Arabidopsis thaliana: one gene and its partner. The protein of the gene in region 1 purifies or fractionates together with the protein of each later gene. This does not show direct contact. Each region holds a gene or a part of one and is shown on either strand. Other genes may lie near its edges.

What was found. The genes of interacting proteins can lie anywhere in the genome.
Region 2: the proteins of AT3G24150 (region 1) and SCL5 purify together in Arabidopsis thaliana (affinity purification with mass spectrometry, with the first as the bait; one study listed by BioGRID). This does not show direct contact.

What each region holds. Positions count from the first base shown.
Region 1 is NC_003074.8:8,723,584-8,727,673, forward strand, and holds AT3G24150 (uncharacterized protein), read right to left. Parts: upstream 2,404-4,090; 5' UTR 2,004-2,403; coding exon 1,903-2,003; intron 1,817-1,902; coding exon 1,702-1,816; intron 1,622-1,701; coding exon 1,507-1,621; intron 1,391-1,506; coding exon 690-1,390; 3' UTR 514-689; downstream 1-513. Other genes in the region: PMP (putative type 1 membrane protein), read left to right, coding at 2,658-2,711, 2,798-2,872, 3,191-3,286, 3,376-3,451, 3,537-3,635, 3,753-3,823, 3,925-4,029.
Region 2 is NC_003070.9:18,736,556-18,741,629, forward strand, and holds SCL5 (scarecrow-like 5), read right to left. Parts: upstream 3,095-5,074; 5' UTR 3,005-3,094; coding exon 2,791-3,004; intron 2,781-2,790; exon of another isoform or gene 2,619-2,780; intron 2,435-2,618; coding exon 843-2,434; 3' UTR 508-842; downstream 1-507. UniProt on the Arabidopsis thaliana protein: Probable transcription factor involved in plant development.

The DNA.
Region 1 (4,090 bases):
AGCTACAATGAACCCTCAAAAATGCTAATTAATTTGGTGAAATAGATCAATATCAACTTTCAACGACACACCTTTGTTTTTTTATGAAAAAAAAGTCTCATTTTCGTTTGTTTTGATTATAAACAAAGTTGGTCTCTCGCATGCAATGTACGTTCACGCTGCAATGACAATAGTGTACGTTCTTTGTTGTAATTTAGTCGAGAATCCATCTCCGACGTTAGGAACAATCTATCATCTTTCCTTTTTTTCTTTGCACAAATATCGTAAAAGTGATACCCACGATTATCTACACCAAAAGTGGTCACTGACAATGTACGAAAAAACTTAGAAAACAACTTAAAAAAAGACAGTTCAAAATGATGGTATTTGATCAGTGAGTAGCTTCTTCAGTATTAAAGCTCAATTACATTTATTCAACCTATGGTTATGATTATATAAACTCTGTTTTCTCTCCAATTTACCCTGAATATGTTAGCACTTGTAACTAACCTAATTCTTTCTATTAATTTCACATTTAAACAAACATATATAAATGGATTAACTAATTCTTGGATCCAGAATTTAGCTTACCATACTTAAGATCAATCCATGGATCTTTATTATAAAACTTGAAGCGAACGCTAAGACTAGTAGAGTCAATAAAATAGTAAACCAATAAACCTGAAGCTTTTACAACAACTAAGCAAGTCCTAAAGGAAGTCTCCACACAAAGTTCTGTGCTTTTTAACTCTCGAATCTGAATTCTGACCTTCACTATTTGAAAACCATTCAAACCTATCATTCTTCTTTACCTCTGCGAATAAACATAACTCTTCTTGGTTTCTTCCCGGGTAAGCCCGACTAGACCCGACATCTATTCTTGTAGACGGTTCTGAAGATATACCGAGCCTCAAGGATAAATCACAGACCCTCTCAGTTGCTTCTTCTGAGGGCTTTATACCAATAGGCATGCCAATGATTATGGGCGCTTCAGGGACTCTAAAAGACATGTCAGCTTGCTGCGTTTGATTATTACCTTCGTAATACAAAGGATAGACCGAACCCAAGTTGACTGGAGCTGGAGCAGGAGCAGAAGCAGGACCAGTTCCTTGTCTAATTGCCAATGGCTTTTGATGCATCTGCATGGATTCATGAAGAAACGGGTAACCGCGAGGAGTAGCTACACGCTTGTTGCTGTTATCAAGTACATCAACAGGGACTGCAGCTTGAACTGTCTGGCTTGGTTTGGTTGATGATTGTTGAGCTTGCTGACGATATTCATGATGGTAAGACGGCTCATTAGTCGACGCAGAAACCGGTTCCTGAATTTTAGGACCGAGGTAAGTCCTTCCGCTACTATGTCGTTGGCTTCTTGAAGCTCTTACAGCAATACATCCCAAATTAAGAGCAGCTAACCATATAAAAAAAAACCACATCAACAAACAATAAACAGTACAAAGCACTAACTTCTAAGTAGTTTCAATAAGGATCACTAGAGCTAAAGAGAGAAACAAAAATGACAATTACCTTCAACACATGGAGGCAAAAGAGGACCAGTTTCTGTACTCTCATCTCTTCTAATAATTGTATCAATGGCATCATTTACTCTATTCCACATAGTATCAGCATCTGTATACTCTTCCTAATGGAAACCGAAACCCAATTGTCATTTTGTGAAGCTGAAAACACACTAAAAAAAGAGAAGGAAAATTTGTTTAAAACCTCGGAATTGGCTTTAGAGTACATGATTTCTTCAGCTTTTAACACAACCACAGGCAATTTCTCCTGCCATTCTTTGTTCTTCCTCGTCGCTGCGCTATGTGCTTCCATTGCGAGTCTGAAATCAAACAAAGAAAACCCCAAATTAAGATACAAAGAAACCCTAGCGTACGGTTTTGAGAAAGATGAGTGAATGAAAAAAACCTGAAAATCTGGCGAATAATCGAACCACGAATAGGTTGATGACGATCGCTATGCCAAGCTCGTTTCACACACTCGTAAGGTCTTGGTCCTGGCCTCGGCATTTTCTCCTTCTTCACACACTTGAGCAGTGACACACTCAGCTACAAATCGAAGTAACAAGTCACTCACTCATCAAACTAATCGGTTCAATTTCTATCCGGGAGTATTTTCCGATCAGCGAGTTCGATGTACGAGTCGCCAAATGGTGTGGAAAGAAAAATCAACCTTAAAACTCTTTTTAACCGATCCAAGGAAACAGATCTGAAGCTTTGAAGCTCTGAATCGTTTGGAGATTTCGTCTACTTGAGCTCATACCGGTCACATCTCCGTCATCATCATCGTCATAGAATCTCCGATTGTTGTCTCCATCGTTGCCGCTTCTGGAAATGGAAATGGAAATGGTGTGATTCGGGACCGCTTCTTTAAAAACGAACCAGTTTTGTGATTTGTCTATTATACCCCTATTTGTACTAACTGTCGTTTTTTTTTTTTTTTTTGTCGGCAACTGTCGTTTAATATGGCTTTTTACTAAACCGGAATTGAAATAACCGGGTTTTGAACAGATAATATTAATTTCAAACGACACCGTTTTGGAGTTGTGTCTAACACTTTGATTGATTCTGAAATCTGGATTCGTCTCCTCCATTAAACATCTCTCGTCTGATAACACCGATCCATCTCTTTCTTTCTCTCTCCGTCGACTCTCGTTCTTAAAGATGAAAGCTTTCTACGTATTCGTTGTTGCTCTTCTTCTCACCTTGAATTATAGGGTTCGTTTTTGTTCCTTCGTGTCTTGCTCTCGTTTACGGAATTGCTTGTATGTAATGACATGGATCTGACTTTTGTTTGTGTATAGGGAGAAGCAAGTGGTTCTGTTTTCTTCATTGATGGATCCAACAATCAATATCTTCGTCCACGATCATCCAGTGAGGTAATGATTTTCGTCCCAAATGTGTGGATGACCGATTTGAAATAATCTCAAATTTGATCATTTTATATTTCAATCTAAGATCGTTTCTGGAAATTATACGAGTTTGGTCCATTGAAGTAGTAAAATAAGATCTATTGTTTGGTCTAAGTGGCACCAATTTGTAGTTTTCTTGTCTGTTTTTTTTTGTTATTTTGATATTGATGAGAGATCAATGGACAGATTGCAAATTTATGTTTGACAAGTACTAAAGTTTGTGATTTAATAGTTCTTTTTGATGAATTTTAGTTAAATCTCTTTTCTTTGAATTGAAATGCACAGGCACTTCCCATGTCGCCTGTTGAAATATCTGCAGCAGTGTCTGCCTTGTTGGGTTTTGCACCTTCAGCAACTTTGACAGCTGATGGCTCATCCAAGGTTATTTTAGTATTATAGTAGAGTTGTTTTTCTCTCTCTGGGTTAAAGTCCTGTACTTCATCGTTTATTTGTTTTGCATTTTGTTATAGTTGAACAAGATTCTAAAACCTAATCCATTTGAGAGGCCTCGCGCTGCTTTTGTGCTAGAAATCGCTGGAGCTGATGGTATGTGATTGGAAAGCTTTAGTTTTCTGACATGAACCAAAAATTTTAGTTGTAAAATATTCAAGTGTTTGTTTTTTACTTGCAGATATGCTTTTGGAAACCTCCCCTAGTCATTCTTTCTTGGGCAATGCCATAAGGAGCAGTATTAAGTCTGATTCGTACAAAGCTGATACTGAACTTCCAGGTGCCCTATCAGCTTGAATACCAGAACCATCTGAGCATGACTAGTTTCTAACTTTTTTTTCTTTATGGGTTTAAGTCTTACTTTGGATATTCTGCTAATCTTTTCAAAATTCTGCAGACAATGAAGTGGTTGTTGTGTCTGTCAATGAACCCTCCTCTGATGTGACTGACAAGGACATTAATGATTTTGTTAGTTAACAGCACCTGTCATTCTAAGTGCAAACACTATTTTTTTTTCCTTTTTAATATAATGTGACCACAAGTTAATGGTGTGGTTATAATATACTTAGGCATCTTGGTTGGGTGGATCATATGTTGCTGGAGCTGAACCATCGTCTGGATTGTTGAGTATCCCTCTGGCTGGGGGTGCTAATGTGGAGTTCAATTTGGAAAAGGTAATATTCTTAATTCCATGAAAAATTGTATGATTTTATGTGGGAGAGGTTGCTGTATTAC
Region 2 (5,074 bases), on another chromosome or scaffold:
TATCTTTGTTTCATTTCCAAACGTACCATAGTTTTAACCAAAGTACAAAAAAACAATTCCAGTTCTCTCTTATTATCTCTAACCACTTTTTCAAACTACATTTTCAAAAAAAGAATTCCGGTTCTCTCTTATTATCTCTTAACTAAAACATTAAAACGATGGTTACAAATGGGATCATGTATGTTTTTGTTACAAGTATTGTTTAATCAAACAACTAATTGGTTATAACTTTGATTTATTCGTATGTTCATCATTTAAACGTACATTAACGTTCGATTATTTAACTTTTAAAAAATCAACCAATTACAAAAGTGGCTGCAAAATATCAAATACATTTTATATTTGCATCCAAACTTGTAAAACATTTAATATAATGAAACAAAATTAAAAAATTATTAAAAAAAACAATACATTATAATGAAAAATTGAGTACTATTCTAAACACCTTAAAATTGGTTAAACGTTTGACTGTTTAGGACATTCGATTAGTCAATTAGATGTCTGGTGCTACATTAACTTAATGATATTGCTTCAAAAAAATCTGCAAATTTTCCTAACCTTGTGCGTAATACAAACGACAAGAAAAAACCATATATCATTAATTTATCACATCATAAACAGAGAGTTATAAGTTTGATGTCAAATCATAGTTTGTTGTGAGAAAAGAAAAAAAAAAACATAAACCTTAAACATATATGGGGTCATCAACATATCACTTACTACTACAACATTTGACAACTTGTTCCTTCGGATCATGCATGAGTTTTACTTTTACAAACAGATTCTGCAAACTTTAAAAGAAGTTTCTAATCTCTTCTGAAACCGAACAAGGTTTTTATTAGTTACCTCCAAGCACAAGAAGTGATAAGAGGTTGATTCTTCCATCCTAAATACAATGCTCCATCTCTTTCTTCAAGTGTATACTTCTCTGAATAACTCTCAAGCAATCCTTTGATTGTTGCGTTCACATACGAGCTCAAAGGATACGGTTTAAATCCCGCCATGTGAAACCGAGACCTCCATTTCCCTAGTGGCTCGTGCCTCTCTTCTCTTTCAACACCTTCACAAGCTATAAGATTCACAACCTCTCTAGCCAAACAATGCTGCTCAACATTGATCCTTTCCTTGTGATCTCTAGCGAGTTTCACATCTATTGATTCGAAAACTGCCAAGTAATGGTTCATTGTCTCGACAAACCGGGGAAGAAACGGCGCAGTGTTTGTATTCGCTTCTTGCTCAACCAGAGTCACAACGTTTGGTGACAAGTGTTTGACCAATCTCAACAATCTATCTCTGTGATTCTCCACAGTTACACTCTCATCAGGCATGTGGTGAAGAACAAGCGGGAAGTTAACCGCGAGCGCTTCTCCATTTCTAACTCCTAGCTTCTCGATTTCGACTTCCGTGCAGCATAAAGCAGCTCCATGGAACTCAAACGGAACACCGCACATTTCAGCTAGCTTCCCAAGTCTTTGTCCAACTAACTCAAGTCCTCCTTGACGAGCAAACGATGATCTCGGATCATCAATTCCCGTTATCCTAACGTTCGGAGGTCCACCAGGTCTAGCACCAAGAGCACGGATCAAACTCACCCATTGACCACCTTGAGAAATCTGGAAATCGATAATGTGCACAAAACTTTCGTTCTTCACAGCTTCAGCTATAGCTCCATTAGCAGATTCATAACCGAATTTGAAATAAGGGCAGGCTTCATACAAGATATGCATATAAGTAAGAAGCTCAGGACCCGTTGGGTCTTTGCATCTCAATGCTTTATAGATGGAGCTACCCGAAGAAGCTAACCTAGCAACGAGACCTTCAAGCATATAAGCTCCTAAGCGCTGAACAGGCTCACCAGAAACAGAAACCATTTGCTGTAACTGAGAGATCAACCAATCAGTCATTTCCAAATCATAGTTTTCAACAGCTTTTGCGCATTCATAGAGCACTCCTTTTAAATCTCCCCTAGAGATCATCTCCATAGATCTATACATAGCTGAAGAAACAACTCCATGCTGCTGTCCAAACCCGCCTTGATTGTTATAGCTGTTGTCTACATCAGGCTCCATCATTGCAGTCTCCAAATCTTTAAGCATGAGACTAAGCTCTGTCTCGTTGGTGTTTGTCGCTGAAGAACCGCTCAAGGGAGAGTTATTGTTTTCTTCAGGGGAATGATTGTTAAACCTTGATAAGTTGTTGTTGTTGGCTTGAGAAATGGGACTTTCATTAGAGGAAAAGCTTGTGGTTGAAGAAGAGTTGTTTTTGTTGTTAAGACAAGGATGAGACTTGGTGCCTGAAGAGGATTCAAGTGTGCAGTAAGAATCAAATGTCTGAACAGAAAGGTCCATTTGTTTGACTGAAGATGGTTGATGGTAAAACATTGAAGATCCTTCTTGAATCATATGTTTCTGAGTAGCTTCCATATCTAAATTATCTGCCACACCAAAAAACAGAATCTTAGTTTTGAACAAGATGATAAGAACCCTAAGATTCTTAAAACGGTTGGATCTTTATGTAGATAGATTCAGTTAAAGATCGACCCAATAGAGAAAAATCATAAACAAGATTGAATTCAATTATCATTAGGGAGACAAAGTTGAGAGCTTTTTAACCGTAACTATGAGCTAAGACAACTGTTACATAAAACCCTAAGCTCAATTTTCAACACAGCCCAAACCAAAAAACAAAGTAAGTTGTGTTCTGTAACTAAGAAAATCAAAGAAACCAGAACTCAGCGAAAGCAACCGACATAAAATAAAAAGATGGAAACTTTGAGATCAAGAATCTAACCTGGTTGGTAATAGTTTGCAGAGAGACAGATAGGAGACTGAGTTTGAGAGATTCTTTGAGATTTTGAGAAAAAAGATTTGGTTGATATTGAAGCTTCAAGGTAAAGAGAGAATCGAATCAAAAGAGAAGTGCTTTGTTTGTTGATGATACCACTTGCTTGCCTACTTTCCACCAGGGGAATAATAAAAACGCTTAACCTCATTTTTATCCTCATCTCTTTCTAAAACCAAATACCCCTTTGACTACTCATTTTTACGGTTTTGCCATTGTTGCTTATTTTGTAGCGCGTAAAGAATAAGAATTAAGTACCTTTATTTCTAATAACAGTCAATATTAGTCTGACGAGTAAACAACTGTAATATATAACTGGAAATAAAATAAAATTCCAAAAACAAGTGTCATGCATTACATCACTATTATCTGAGTAATTGAATCATACGAGTATTATATAATGATTTTCATATATTAAATGATGAAACATTTGGGAGTTAATGAGAGTAGTTGAAATGTCGTGGCTGACCATGTTTTACCAGAGTCAAATTGCATTAAGTAATTCAACATGTTTTAACAGTTTTGTTTGTTCTATTAACACACTTTTTTTACCTAGAAAATTCATGGAACCATGCAAGATCAATAGTATGATATATAAATGTTGCGTTTTCCACAATAATAGTATACAAAATGAAAAAAAAAAAAAAAAAAAAAGCGATTTTGTTTTGTCTTTGTGTATAGACTATTTTATGTAAATCCAATCGTTCGAAATGAATGAAACACGAGCAAAAGCAAAATAAAATGGGTTGTTGTCAATTGAGTATAATAGTAGGCTAGTAGCACATGGTTCTTCAAAATATTAATGTTAAATTCTTTGGAATAAAATTAAAAAAACGTACGAAACGAATAATTACGAGAACTTAAGAATGTAAAACAAATCATGATGATGATTGATTATTCTATGTGTGGACGACGAATGCAATAAACATCTCTTTGTTTTACTTTCTATTTAGTAAACCTTGAGTCCTCGATGGCCAATCAAAGTACTATACGTAACTTTGTTTTGGGTAGGGAGTACTACTATACATAATTAATGTAGCATAAAGCATAACGATATATTTTCGCCTTAAAACTGTAAACTTAACCGTAATAAAATTGTGTGCCGCATGTCTAAATAATTCGTGTGTTCATCTTTTAGTGAAGTAATAAAAGGCAAGGGTAAAATGGTCCGCACAGACGCAGACATCGATGAGATCGAAAACAAAAGTAACGAGATGAGACCAAACGTGCAAGCCATGGGTTGGTCCAACACTTATCATTTTTAGGCCTAAAAGTTTGTGATTATTCCCTGCCTTTTTATCCTCCCATTTTTTCTTTTATTTACCAACATATTTTCTTTTTACATACATCAGTGAGATTTTTTCGACTTTTTTTTCAACTTCGTGTTCAAAGATCAGCGAGTTTTTTAGTTTGACTATTGATGCATCATACATTTGTTTAACCAGTGGTACATACATACGATTGATACACTTTTACAATCCACGTATTTACGACAAATGTGAATTAATATTTAATACACTTTATTATTAAATTCAGGCGTCTTTCTTTTGTGAAAAAAAAACACTTAATTATATGCATTCATTCTATAATTACTCATTTCATTATTAATTTCGTAAGTAATTATTTAGTATTATACTACTACCCCGCAGTACCATATTATCAGCTTTGAATACCCATAAATAACTAGTTTGATAACTACAATGGATTGGATTGAAACATTAGTAGACTAGGAAAAATCTCTTTTATATAATACTAGTATTCAAAAACAAAAACAAAAACTGTTATCAAATATACATCCACTTTAGTATGTTTTCCAGTACGAACCGAAATTGGAGTATGGACACTGCATAAGCAGCAGAAATGTGTACTTGAAAGGTTCACACCTTAAGATTTCATGCCGACCAATCGTGTCGGCCCACCAACACTTTAAAGCTCTTTAACCCAATTCCGCGTTCTTTCAGAAGAACAATTTCAGCATTCAACTTTTTGACCTTCCATTTTCTTTTTCTTCATTTTTTTACATTTGATTTTCTCCCCATAAAGTTTAATTTTATCATTGTTTATGTCTTTTGTCTTTTTTATGTCTTTCCTCGAGTAACACTGTCCGAAAATAACAACTCTTAATCGTGCGCAGTCACATAATTTAGGAATAACAAAGTCATCCTTTATAATTTCATTACTAGAATTTTGAAAAGAAAATTAAGAGACTACTAAGTTTTACTCCTAGTTTGAC